2 linked regions of the Diceros bicornis minor genome follow. The protein of the gene in region 2 purifies or fractionates together with the protein of the main gene of each other region. This does not show direct contact. Links are inferred from orthologs where the notes say so. Each region holds a gene or a part of one and is shown on either strand. Other genes may lie near its edges.

Region 1 (7,106 bases), on a different chromosome or scaffold from region 2:
TGAACTCCATCACAAGGCCCTGGCTTCTGCTGACTTCTGACTGCGCTCTCTCTATCCTGGGCCCCACGCTCTTCCTCTCCAAGAACAAACTCGCTCTCCGGCATCTAAAGCTTTAACATCTGCTGTCCCCCTGCCTGGCTCCTGTGGACACGTGCTAGGCCCACCTCCTTCCCTGCACTCAGGTCTCTGATTAAATGTTCCTTCCTCAGACAGGCCTTCTCTGCTACCCCACCTTTCCCGTGCTTGCTCGTTCTTCCTATCGATGACCACACACGGCGTTTTTAATATTATCACCGCCTGCCTCCTCCACCAGAATCAAGCTCCAAAGAGACAGGCATGTTTAATTGTTTTGGTCAGCGCAGCATCCCCAGCACCGTGCGCAACACCTGACACCAAGCAGGGGCTTGGTAAACATTCAATGAGCTGTCTGTGATAACCCTTAGATCCCTGGGCTCTGCTCCTGCAGAGAGCACCCTCTCTGTTCATTCAGAAAGCAGGTGATCAGATGGTGACCAGAGCCCTGGCCCCTCCCCTCAAGCAGCTCATGTAGTCCATCCAGCGAGATGGCCACGCAATTCACGACCCTAGAGAGCAGGGAAGGTTTGTGGGAGTCTTGAAAACTTCACCTATAAGACGGAGATATGGAGATAACACAGTGCTCACCTCAGGGAGTTGTCAAGAGTAAATGACTTAATACACACAAAGCACTTCACCTAATACACTGCCTGGCACACAGTTTGCCTGGCACACAGTTTGAATTATTCAAACTCGGGGGAATGAGTCCCCCCTCCCTCCTACTTAGGAAGAAACCACTAGGCCTAAGAGGTTCTCAACCCAGGCCCGAGGAACAGAGACCTGGGAAGTGTGGGCACGGCATGGGGGACAATGGGCACGAAGGTAAATTTGCAGTCCCAGATACTCAAAGCATAGCTTAATCCATTTCAGGTCCTGGGGCTCTTAGAAAAAGGTACTCAAAGTACCCATTGCTCAGAAAAACACATATTCACACACATTTTTCTAGAAGTTTTTGGTGGAGGGTCCACAGACCCCCTGGTTTAAAGCTGCTCTCCTCCCACAGCTGTGCCCATCTCAAAAACGGCAACTCCATCCTTCCAGCTACACACGCAAAAGCCCTTAGTTATCCTTAATTCCTCTAGCTCACACCCACATACAAGCTGTTGGCTCTGTCTTCAAAATATATTCCCAAATCATGACGATTTGTCAATCAGGTCCACTGCTCTCACCCTGGTCCAGGCCACATCATCTCCTAGTAGACTACAGCACCAAACTTCCACCCATGTGCCCATGTCCACTCTTGCTCCCCAAAAGTCTTATACACACAGAAGCAAGAGGGATCCTTTTAAAAGTGTCAATCAAGTCTAACTGACAGCATCCCTGCTCAACATCTCCCAAAGGCTTCCTCTCATTCAGACTAAAATCATTCCCGCAGAGCCGATTCCTGAAACCTGGTAGATTTACTTTTACCACTTCATATCCTAACGCAACGGAGGAAGGGTTGGGAGGAAGGTGTATCCTCCATTCCTGGGGGGAATCAGACCACAGGGTGCCTGCAGGGATACCAGGGTCTCAGGACATACAGAGCCTGGCACCTCCCACCCCACTTCATCAGTAGCTCCCTGAACATTGAAGAGAAAGAGAGCCTGGGAGGGGGCATGGATTCACAAACCCCACCCCCGCAATGACCCCATCTCTCCGCACACCAGAACAAAAAAAAAAGAAAAAAGAAAACCTGTACTAGGAAAATAGACCCGTTTGATCACAGTGGAAGATTTCCTCAGCTCCAGTGGAGAAAGTTGTGGGGAGGGGTATGGCCTGACTTAGGAAGAGCTGAGACACCAGGGAGAAAGACCCTAATTTTGTTCCCCTTGAGAAGATAAAGATAACAATTAGAGCCAATACTATTATATGGCAAGCCCTGTGCTATTTTTTCCCCAGCTTTATTGAGACATAATTGACATACAACATTGTCTAAGTTTAAGATGTACAACCTGTTGATTTGATACACTTCTACACTGTGAAATGATTACCACCATGTATTATTTTTTGTTAACATGATCTCACTAAATTATAACTGGGAGCCATTTTATTGCTGAGAAAACTGAGGCTCTGAGAGGTAAAGCCATTTGCCCAAGGTCACACAGTAGGTTAAGAAGCAGAGCCAGGATTGAAACTTTGAACCGAGACCCTTCAGCTGTCAAAGCCAAGGCTCTCATCATTACACCATGAGGGAGGTGGGGTGGGTTCATCAGAATCTCAGGGAAAATCGAAAGGATAAAAGCACTTATGCCCTGTGACTACCTCCCCCCTCCCCCACGCTAATCCTATCCTGGGCTTGTGAAGTTTCATCTCACCGCTGAGTTGAGAATCACTAGGCCCAGGATCTCTACTCCATCCTCAGGGACCCGCCTCCTCGGAAGAGTCGAGAGCGGGAACGTGGGCCAGACAGGGCCACACGCTATAAGGCGGGAGTCCTCATCCACTCCGGCCCTCTCTGAGAAGCTGGGTTGGGGGCTAAGGGGACGGTGGGAGCGGCGGCGATACGGGAGGCAAACGGGGGCCTCGCAGACCCAGCACGAGGGACTCGCCACCTCCAAACCAAGACATGTTCCCAAACCCATGCCCAGAGATCCCAGACCCCAAACGCTTGGATCCAGACTCTGGGTCAGTATCCCCGACTGCCGCCCCCGGCCCAATGTCCAAGACCCCTAACGACGGCCTCAGTGAGATGAATCCCAGTTCAGGACCCTCCAGTTCCAGGGACTCACGACCGTGACCTCCCCCTCCCCACACGAGACCGGATCCGAGCCCAGAACCCCTGCCCTGAGGCCAAGGACCCCCCACTCCGATTCCGGCCTGGGACCCCGATTCCCGCCAGGCCCCAGTCCCTGACCCTCGACCCCAACCCTGGCCGCACCTGGCCTCATGGCGAGAGCGGAGTTGCCCGGCTCACGAGCCTGCCGCGTCCGGAACTCCACGAGCCCGGGGATTTCGCACGTGGAAAAGAGCGCACGCGCGCGGCGACGTACGGGGCGTGACGCAACCACGCAGCCCCGCCCCTCGGAGGCCAGCTCCGCCCGGAGCCCGGCGCCTGTGCTGTGGGCGGGGATTCCCGAGCCTCGTCGCTCTCCACGCTGTTTTGACCTGTGCAGCGATCGGTACCCTAAACACACTTCCCGCTTCCCCATCACCGGTTCGAGCACCCCGGTAAAGAGGGATCATCTCCCAGCCTTCGCACGGGCCGTGCCCTCGGCCCCTCTTCTCTATTCCTCGTTAGCTCCCAAAGGTCCCCTCTACACCCAAAAGCCTTTGTGATCCATTTCCACTCCCCAAGAACAGGGACCGACCGACTCTGGGCTCCCATTCATACACTCGAAAAGCATTTATTGTGCGCCTTGTATGTCCCCGGCACTATGCTAGGCGCTGGGAATACAGCAGTGAACAAGACATAAAAATCCCCACCCTCCTGGAGCTCGTCTTCTAATGGGAGAAACAGACGCCAAACAAGTTATTAGAAGGCAGGGAAGGGAGATAGGGACTGGTGTGTGTTGTGTGTGGAGGGAGTGACATTTCTCGTAGGGTGGTCAAGGAACGCATCAGGTGACTTTTGAGCAAAGAGCTAAAAGGAGGTAAAGGAGTGAGCAGATTCTGCATAAGTATTGAGAATTTTGTGATTTGTAATTTTATAAATTAACATTCATGCCTATATTCATTCCACAAAGCAAAACAAATGCTACTATGAAAAATTCCTTAAAACCTCCAGGAGAGTCCACTAGTCTGTTCCATTCATTGCTGTATCACTCAGTACCTAGAACAGAGCCTGGCACAGAGTGAGTGCTCAGTAAATGTCTGTTGAATGAATGAATGAACCCATGCTGTTTTACATTCTCTGTGCAGGGTGTTCCAGCCGTACAGAAACATTCCTGAAAATTTGTTTAAATATTAAGATGGAAAATCTGCTGAGTCTATTCTGGATATCCAGGAGCTGCATAGTACTTCAAATGGCTCCAATTCAGGAGGATGTTACCTACTTCTTATGGCTTTTACTGTTTGCCTTCCAATTAAAACATTTTTTTTTCTAAAGGACAAAAACAGTCAGGCTACAGTGCAGATTTAGGGTTGCCAGCCCTATTTTCTGGAATCCTGGCACCATTTCCTGGCTCTGAGGTATTTCACCTGCCAACTTGCTCTGCAGACCTGAAATTGGCACTATCAGTGAGTAGTTAGTGGGTGCCGGCTGGTCTTTTCCTGTGTGTGTGAGGAAGATTGTCCCTGAGCTAACATCTGTGCCAGTATTCCTCTATTTTGTATGTGGGACGCCGCCACAGCATGGCTTGAGGAGCAGTGTGTAGGTCTGTGCCTGGGATCTGAACCCGCAAACCCCGGGCTGCTGGGGCAGAGTGTGTGAACTTAACCACTATGCCACCAGGCTGGCCCCACCAGCTGGTCTTGTGCTGGGGACACAATGGTGACTGAAAGAGTCCCATGCCTTGCCCTCCTAGAACTGCCAGTCCAGTGGGGGAGACAGACAGGTCTCAGACAGTGTCAACCCAGAGTGGTGAGGGCCAGAATGGGGGAGGTACAGGCAGAATGGTCAGGGCTGGGAGGGGGAGCCATTGAGGGCTTTTCCCTATATCTCTCATATCCTCAGCTCCCTCTGAGCCTTCCTTTTACCTTCCTGCTCTAACCACAACCTAGCTCTCCCCTGAAGACATGCCGTTCTGTGCAGCCCTTCCAAGCAGGAGCTGTTTTCTCCTCCTTGCTCTTTGCCTTTCTCTCTGCCTCCTCCCTAAGCCCCTAATTTTGAACCTTATACTATAGCACCTGCTCTCATTCTTGCTGCTAGCTCTATCAACTCCCAGCTCACTTCATCATTTTGGCTCCAGGCTCACTGCCACTCAAGCTGCTCTGATCATAATTCTTGGTGATTTCCATATTCAGGTTGATGCTTCTGGGACGGTTCTGGCCTCTCTATGCCTTAATCTCCTCTCCTCTAGTGATCTTGTCCTCCACCCAACCCTTCCTTCCCACGGTCACACCTAGACTTTGTGCTGGGGACACAATGGTGACGATGAGGGAGAAAGACCAGTCCCCAGATAGTGACAACTCCAAAACTGCAGCCCTTTGTGCAAAATAAGAAAGGAAACCTCAACTAAATTGGAGTCTGGAAGGCCTGCAGGGGGCGCTCTCATGCCCTAGCATATATCATTAATTATTTCAAACAGGAAATGGCTTAGCTTGCATCTCCGACAGGAAGTACAATTACTGTACTACTGAAGGAAGATTTTTCTCCCCACCCGGCAACAGCCCAGCCAATGAGAACCGCCAGTGAGAAGCCATTGCCACCCTGAACTGTTACTTTCTCCCAATGGACTTTCCTTTAGAACAGCCCCTCCCCACTCCTTTTTCTGTACAAAAGTGAGCTTCTTTCCTTTGTTTTCTGGATTTGCCTATGGTTCACCATAGTGTGCACATCCCAAATTGCAATTCTTTTGGCTATTCCTGAATAAACTCATTTTGAGGGTAAAATAACAGCCAAATTTTCCTTTTAGGTTGACACTCTGCAGAATCTCAGATCCATGCATCTCACTGTCTGCCCATTGCCTCCTGTCTCTCTAGCCCACTCCCTCTAGAGCTATTGCTCCAATGATCCTTCAGCTCCACCAGTTCATTTAGCTGACTGCCTTTTCCCTGTCCCTCACCTCCCCATGACCATACCACTCCCACCACCCAGCCTGAGTCCCCATCCATCATGATCACCACTCCCTTGCTCACACCTTCACAATATGTGCTCTTTTCTAACTTTGTCTTTTTCACCCAGTTGAGTCCACTGTCCACCTCCCCTGCACCTGCACCCTGGCAGCTGGATGTGGATGGAGAAAAACTCACACCCACTCTGGCTGGTCTCACTTTGGATTCATGACCACAAACCCGATGGGCCCTAGTGCTGCCCAGCCATCCTATCACATGTCCCTAATCCACTCAGTCTCCCATTTTATTTTTTTCCCAATTGGTAGTATTGGTAACATGTGTTAACTTTTAAATGCTTTGTTAAGGCATAATTCACATACCATAAAATCCACCTGTTTTAAGTGCACAGTTCAATGAATTTTAGTAAACTCATACAGTCGTGCGACCATCACTGCGATCCAGTTTCAGAACAATTCCATTATCCCATTTCATACAAATGGAATCATGCAATATGTAGTCTTTGGTGTCTGGCTTTTGTCGCTTAGCATCATGTTCCATGTTGTTGCATGTATCAGTCATTCATTCCTTTTTATTGCTGAGGATTCCATTGTATGGATACACCACATTTTGTTTATCCATTCATCTATTGATGGGCATTTGATTTGTTTCCAGTTTTTGATTATTATGAATAATGCTGCCATGAACGTTCATGTGTTAATATTTGTGTGGACATGTGATTTCATTTTTCTTGAGAAGAGTCCTAGGAGTCAAATGGCTGAGTCATATGGTAAGAGTATGTTTACCTTTTTAAGAAACTGACACACTATTTTCCAAAGTGGTTGGACTTGCTTGAAGGATTATTTTACACTTTCTCCTTTCTCATTAAACCTCAGAACCTTCTCCTCCTTTCTTACTCTTAGATGATGACTTTGCTTCCCACTTGAATGAGAAGATAGAAGTAATCACAAGAAAACTTTAATATCCTCCCATCGCCATATCTGCCATCCAACTGTCCCTGTTACTTCATATGCTGTATAAGAAAAGTGTTTCTGTACTTACACACTTCACTTCTGACACCAAATGCATGAGTTTACCACACCAAGCAATTCTCCAATTCTCTGCAGACTCCAACTGGCGTCCTACAATTTAGTTCAATTTGGACACTACCCGGAGTTAGCGCAGACCCCACAGGTTAAGGGCTCAGCCCCACAAGACTGCCCCCACTTCAGACACCAATGGCAAGTCCAGGCCACCCATACTTCTGGCTATAAATCAGGAGAGCCCACGACCCCTTCCTCTGTTCAACAATTTGCTGGAACAGCTTATAAGATTCAGGAAAAAGGATACAACTCAGGAACAGCCAAATGGAAGAGATGCGAAGGGCAAGGAATGGGGGA
Region 2 (7,601 bases):
GATGTTAGCCCATGGCCAATCTTCCTCAGCAAAAAGAGGACTGGCAACAGATGTTAGCTCAGGGCTAATCTTCCTCACCAAAAAAAACCCAAAAAAAACAACAAGGTAGATCATTCTTTTTACCAATTTTTTCATGTTGGCAAAAATGAATTCTTACACATGACACTTCCACCATTTTCAGTACAAAATTTTTTAAATGATGGGAACATTTCCAAATATACATTTTCAGAATGATCATAGCACAAGATTTTTTGAAAATTAATCACTAAAAGGGACCTTAAAGTTGCAGGTTATGTATTTTTTATTTTCAAAATAAAAACTGCTACCCAGTCTTCACAGCCACAAAATGTTTAGCTAATTTTAAAAATTCTTAATTCATGGTCATGCTCCACAGCTCTTCTAAGAACTTTACAACGATATCACCTCTGCAGGAAAAAAGATTTTCATGGTCCCTCTCCAACACTTTACAAATTATTATAAAGATTCTATGATTTAAAATAACAGAATCCCCCAATAAATGTAAACTGCGATATGCTACAATATTCTGAAGGCGGAAGCAGGCACACCTTTGTCAACCCTCCAGTCTTTTCTTGGGATACCTGAAGTACCACATAAAACATGTGATTACGTATTTAACATAGAGCCGAAACAAGGATGTCAGTGTCAGTGTAAGTTTTATTAAAGTAAACATTATTTTTTTAATATAAGAAATATAAATTGAAGTATTAATTGTTTTTTGCCACTCTGCAATGGGTAGCCTAGTACCTCCATTTTAGAGACCTCTGACCAATGCAATGAAGTTCAAGCTCCTTTCTGGTCTTCCACAATCTGGTCTCAACCTACCTCTTCAGCTCCAAGTAGTACTTGCTGAAACTCAGCTACAGCCAAACTGGTTTATTCACTGTCACCTAAAACTGCCTAGCACTTTCCCGCTCTTGAATCCTTGCAGAAGCCATTTCTTCCAATAAGAACATACGCCAACATTCATCCTAACCTATCTAAAACCCATGAATCCTTTAAAAATATTCAGCTTAAATCTCATGTCTTCTATCAAGTTTTTCAAATCACCACAACCACGCCTCCCTCTAAATTCATACACTCAGTCAACAATAAACATTCAATAAATATATATGGAACACCTGCAATATGTCACAAGGCTACGAGGATACCACAGCTAACAAACTGATGGCATGTACTTATGTAGGCTGTTCTCACAGATCTGTATGTTAACGACCTACGTCAGAATTGCCAAGGGAGTTTTAAAAATACAGTTTCCCTGATGCCTACCCTGGGTTTATGAATCAGAATACTCAAATAAATATTTGAACACTGCACAAAATTTACAAGGAAATAAAACCTAAACAAGAATGAAAAAACAAAGGAAGACAACAAATGTCTTTTTAATTTTATGATTTAAAGAGTTCCACTACTTCTATTGTTCCGTTTTGCTATCCATTAACCTTTCCTCAGACAGATAAAGAATAGGAAGATGTTATAGAAAATAAGACCCTTAACAAGATCAGATGACTAATAACCTTCTAACATTGGGATTCTATGACCAGCCAGTCACTCACTCATTCCCTCATATAGACATTTATAAAGCAACTACTATGTGCCAGGTGCTGTCTAAACACAGCAGATATAGAAAGAAATATGATTCTACTCCTCTCCGCAGGCTGTCTGATGGAAAAGACTGATAATCAAAATAATAACCATGAGACAATGTGATAAACACTCTGATATCAGTACAAAAACACGTGATAAAAACAGAGGAGGGGTGCTTAAATGGGGGGGGGGTATGAAAAGGTTATTGTTCAGAGAAAGCTTCCCAGAGGAAGGAGAGAAATTGGGTAAGGGTGAGCGCCACAGGATGCCTGAAAGAAAATGCCTGAAATGCACTCAGATTCGCGAGAGTAAACGTGAGCTACTTGCGGGAAAAGTAGTGACTGGTGAAACCAGAGAGGAAGATGGGACCAGGTTCAAGGAGTAGGGATGATGTCAAGTCCAAGTGACACAACCTAATTTATATGTTAGAAACGTTACTGTCTTGTTACTTAACCTGTAAACATCTTTTGAGTAGAGGCCATATATTTACTTCTTAGCTATGCTCACATATATGTTGATAACTACTACTCAATCAAAACAGCGAAATATTGTTCCAGCCTCGTTCGTCTTCTATCACTTACTCCAACTGACGACATGGCCCTTCTGTTATGCCTTAAGTCATACTTGCCTTAAGGCCTTTGAACTTGTTATACCCTTCACTTAGAATACTCTGTTCATATATGGTTGGTCCCTTGTCATTCAGATATCATAAACTATAATTCATCAGCAGTCAGCATGTTAATGGGGGAACAGACCAGTCACGGATAAATAAAACTCAATTTCATTTTATCCATTCCCAATTCCAACAGCTGTTGATAAGAGAAAACTGATGGCTTTAAGTTTCATCTTTGTCTCTTTCCACATCCCGAAATACGTAATTTTAAGTAGTAAAGTGGCCGGAAGTTAGAGCAGCAGGAAGGCTTCAAGAAGCCTATTTAACTGTTAAATCCTTCAATCCACGAGTTTGGCTCATTCAAGTTCCACTTCTCAATAATGGAACCCAAGAACAATCAGAAAGCAGCACCTGGAAGAGGTGAGGCGGAAGCGTTCGCCATAGAGCCAACTTTCCCACGTACCACTAGAGAAATTCTTAGAAAAAGGACTTGAAGACAAGTCGGCTACCGAGTCGCGCAACGGCCTTATTCACACAAAGTCAGCCCTGGCGAAAAGAGCGAGCCTGGAGAGCCAGCCTCCCCCCAGCTTTACTCGGTGGAAGCTGAGGCCAGACCCAAGGCTGGCGGCCTCCCTACTAACTAGTCTCACCTCGCTGTAAATCCAACTTGGTTTCGCGGACGTAGTTGTCCGGGTTCCGGCTCAGCATCTTTACCTTCATCTTTGCTGCCGGTTCTCCCCGACTCCACCGGCCTCGCCCTCCGCGTTCGGGTTACCTCCGCCTCCTCGGGCACATGCCACATCCGCTTCTTCTAGACTACTTCCTGTCACGTGACTTCCCCGGAGTGGAAACCGGTCGATCCAGTTGGACCCTGCGGCGCTTCGTAGTTTTGCGCAGGTTGGCCGGGGGCGGTTCTCCAGCGGTGCTTTCTCATCGGCGTCCCTCCGCCCGAGCGGGCCGCAGCTGTGGGCGGGGCGGGGCCTCGGCAGAGGCGGGCGCCCCGCCTCCTTCGCTCTCTGCCGGCGTGACCTACGCCTGCGCGCCTCTCCTGCTCCGCTGCTCCTGGCGCTCTCGGCTTCTTGACGGTGCCCTGGCGTCTGAGGCCGCGCACCGCTCCCGGAAGTGGGCTCGCGTCCCGCGTCTCCTGCTTCAGGGCGGCGACCGTCCTCACGGTGGCGGCCACTGCATCTGGTCCCACCTCCGCGGCCCTAGGCGCGGTGGTATCAGCGGGCCCCGAGCCTATGACGGGTCAGGGCCAGTCGGCGTCCGGGTCGTCGGCGTGGAGCACGATATTCCGCCACGTCCGGTACGAGAACCTGGTAGCGGGCGTGAGCGGCGGAGTCCTGTCCAACCTCGCGCTGCACCCGCTCGACCTGGTGAAGATCCGCTTCGCCGGTAAGAGCCCGCTCAGGACCCGGCGCTCCTCCTTGCTGCCACCCCGATTTGGGGGATAAAGACGCAAAAGGAAGCCTTGGTCTCCCCTGTCTCTTCATACTAACCAAGCAAGAGTTGAAGAAGATGCTGTTTGTCCGGGCTCACCTGGCACTAGATTTGAGGAAGGGGAGCCTGGTAAAGAGGTGTGGCCGCCGTCGCCCCGGTTCCCCAAGACTAAGGGATGGAGAGAGAAGTCTGAGAAAAGTCCTTATTGGTGTAGAATGTAGGATTCCGAGCCTGATTTGTAAAATAAGAAAGGGATTGTCACATTTTAGGGCTTAGCCCTCACACGTGCAAATCGTTCACCCTTGAGGGTGCTTTGAAATCTTAGGGGAGCCACGTGTTTGGCAGCGCGGCTGAGAGGAAAAGGCAAGTGCCAGGGGTAGGGTGTAATCTTCAGCAGGTGGTTGGGAGTAGGTTTGGGATAGGATTCCCTTGAAGGTTTGTTTTTGGCGTTTATAGTGTGGTACAAGGTCCTGTGGAGGAATAAGTCACTGGAATTCAAATACTATTTTGCTTTTTATTTAGGCTTATTGAATTAAGTGCACTGAGTTAAGTGAATTAAGTATATTGAAATTAACAAAGTAGTTTAGAATAAATTCAGCACTAAATTCTGGAAAAGATAGTTTCAAAGGTCTGATAATTTTATTTGGAAACTGTCTTCTGGCATGTCAGTTTTCTTATTACTACGAGTTAAGTTCTGCCTTGAGGATTAGATCTGCAGAAGTGGTTTATCTTAAAGAGTCAGATTAATTCTATTCCCCAATATTTTGTTCTCTTAATAGTTCTAGACTGCTGTGTGAGATACAGAAGCATTAAGCAAAGTTCTTGCTCTCAGGGAACTTAGAGTCTAATTGGAGGCTTGAGACTTAGTCATATAAAAGATAATTCTAGACGGCATAAAATCAAGGGCAAAATGGAATAAATCCAAATACCAAAATATGAGTAGTGGTAGACTATCAAAATTATAAATTGCCGATGGTTCCATCAGATCTTGAGATTCCCTGTAGAAAGACTAATATTTTGACAGAGAGGAGGTGAGAAGCCATTCTGTGAAGGAAAATCAGTGAAAATTATGGAGTATTATCCCTAGAAGAAAACCCACAAAGGCATGTAATTTCCATGGAGTTTATGATGTATGCACAAATAAAAATTATGATAAGTAACATTCATTGAGCATTTACTAGGAGCAAGGCAATGCACTAAGAGCTTTAGGTGCATTATCTAATTTACTGTTCTGAACAAACCTGTGAATTTATTATCCCCGTTGCACAGATGAGGATAATAGAAATTGACTAACTGGCCCAAGTCACAAGTTTGTAAAGACGGATCTAGGATTTGAACCCAGGCAGTCTAACTCTAGAACCCTGTGGCACTTAATCACTCACCATACTACCTCTAGAAATCCCTAGTATACAATTGCTTGAACATGAAGAAAAGAATTCTGGACTTGGCTGCAGATGCAGACCTATATGACTTGGTGTCTCTCTTCAGCGTTTTGTCTAGGAGCAGAAGGGGGGACAGTTGAGATGATCACTGAGGAATAATGGGGTTGGCCTGATGAGTTTAAACAGTGCTGTGAAGCACACCGTGCCTGAAGAAAGAGAATTCTTGGTTCCTGAGAAGATTGGTAATCTTGATGAAATGGGGAGAGTATTAGGGCTGAAGTGACAGATAAGTTGATTGAGATTGGATGGGAAGACAAAATTAAAGATCTAGGAGTCAAAGCAGGACTTTGTAATCATAAAATGTGGCTGTGAAATGGTGATAGAAAAGAGGAAAATTTAGGAAGATGAATAACTGAAATCAAAATAGTTGATTGCCCATCAGCATTAATGCTAAAGTTTTTATACTTTCATAAAATTTAAGCCCTTGTAATAAAATTGTAATATCTAGTGACAGGGGTTGTTAGTCTTGAATGTGCTGTTAAACCAAACCTGGAATATTTCAGTGAATTCAGTTCAAATTGGAACTCAGAGGTGTCCAGAGTGATAGAAAGATTGGAAATCATTTCATGTCAGGGCTGGCCTCGTGGCTTAGCGGTTGAGTGCGCGCTCCGCTACTGGTGGCCCGGGTTCGGATCCCAGGTGCGCACCGATGCACCGCTTCTCCGGCCATGCTGAGGCCACGTCTCACATACAGCAACTAGAAGGATGTGCAACTATGACATACAACTGTCTACTGGGGCTTTGGGGGCGGGGGAAGAGGAGGATTGGCAATAGATGTTAGCTCAGAGCCCGTCTGCTTCAGCAAAAAAAAAAAGAGGAGGATTAGCATGCATGTTAGCTCAGGGCTGATCTTTCTCACACACAAAAAAAAAAAACAAAAGAAATCATTTCATGTGAGAAATGACTGGAGGAGCTAGTTTAGCATGGGAGGTGGAGTGGGACTTAAGGTGTTTAGAGATCAGCCATGTGGGAAAGGAAACTGCCTTATTGTGGGTTGATCTAAAGGGCAGAGAGAGGTTGGGTGGAAATTACAGGGAAGCAGATTTTGACCTGGCAAAGTGTTGGTGCTCAGAAATGAAACTGGTGATGACTGGAAGTGGTTCAGAAGTTGGATGACAGAGGTTAGAAGATATTCCTGTATTGGGTGGAAAGGTGGGATTACGTGATCATTGAGGCTTCTTCTAACTTTCAGATATAATTCTAAATCATCAAGAATGATGAGAGAGAGCCCCAACAAAGAACGTGACTGAGGTGTAAAAGTAGTGATTTTCTAAAATAACCTGAAATTTACACAATGTTATAAACCAAAGTGACCTCAGTAAAAAAAAATTTTTTTTTTAAATAAAATAATCTGAAAACCTAATAATCCATAAGTTAATCGAGGAACCAAAGTGTAGAGTCTGGTAACAAGAATAGCCTACAGTCCAGTTTTGTATGTATATAGTTTTGCAAGACCCAGTAACATAAATGAACTAATACTTATTGAATGCTTGCTACGTGCCAGGCATGATTTTAAGGGCTTTTTATGTATTAACTCACTTAACTGTTTGTGATTTTTAGTTAGGTTCTATTTTTCCCATTTTATGGATCAGAAACTTCAGGCACGGAGTAATCAAGTAACTGACTCAGGGTCACACAGTGAAGTGTTAGAATTGGGATTCAAACCCAGAAAATCTGATTCCATAGCATATGCTGTTAGCGTGAAACCGTAAGTGGGTAGTTTGGTATAGCTAAAGGGTAAAATGCTACAGGTAGAAATGAAAATGATTCCAGAAAGTTAAGAAGCTGTCAGATTGACACATCTTTTATGCCATGTAAAAATGAGGCCAGGTCTAGATGTTAGGAATAAGATCAGGACTAAAGATGTAAAAACTATAGTGCAGGGACGTGATTGCAGCGACTTAGTGATCGAGAGACTTCCCCTATTGGGACAGATTGCCTGTAAAAATCAGCATTTAAAGGATGGGCAGAAGAGAAGGAGGTTGCAAAGGAAATTTCGTAGCCAAAGAAGTAAAAGGAAAATCAGGAGACTGTGGTGTGAAACTAGCCCAAAGAAGAGTGTTATAGGAGGTAAACAATGTCAGGTGCTGCTCAAGGGTTAGTAAGGAAGAGAGGACTCCCCGAGTACACTCTGAGGTCTTTAACTAGGGCACTTGCAGTAATGGGTGGATGTCCAAACCAGATTGCAATGGATTGAGGCACAGTGGAGGTGAGAAAGCCCCTGCTGAGATTGTAGTTCTCTCTACCAGAAGCTTAAGTGATAGGGAGGCCCTGCTTAGGGCTTCAACATAGGAATTGTCGGGGGCAGGAAGCATCAGAAAGATTGTAAAGTACGCAGCAAAACATTTCTTGAGAGAAATGTTACTTGCTCTGAAACTTATCTTGTATAAACTTCATAACAACCTGTGACATAGGTGATCTTTATCCCTATTTTATACATGAGGATGCTGAACCTCAGAGAGATTGTGACTGTATAGCTAATTAGGGAAGATTTCAAACCC

Evidence for each region. The genes of interacting proteins can lie anywhere in the genome.
Region 1: the proteins of DCAF13 (region 2) and FBL purify together in Homo sapiens (affinity purification with western blotting; 3 studies listed by BioGRID, with this or other methods). This does not show direct contact. The link is inferred for Diceros bicornis minor from reciprocal best matches to the Homo sapiens genes DCAF13 and FBL.

Annotation. Positions count from the first base shown.
Region 1 is NC_080773.1:13,614,175-13,621,280, forward strand, and holds the start of FBL (rRNA 2'-O-methyltransferase fibrillarin), read right to left. Parts: upstream 3,045-7,106; 5' UTR 2,946-3,044; coding exon 2,936-2,945; intron 1-2,935.
Region 2 is NC_080760.1:21,525,833-21,533,433, reverse strand, and holds the start of DCAF13 (DDB1- and CUL4-associated factor 13), read right to left. Parts: upstream 3,017-7,601; 5' UTR 2,939-3,016; coding exon 2,869-2,938; intron 1-2,868. Other genes in the region: SLC25A32 (mitochondrial folate transporter/carrier), read left to right, coding at 3,460-3,613. UniProt on the Homo sapiens protein: Part of the small subunit (SSU) processome, first precursor of the small eukaryotic ribosomal subunit.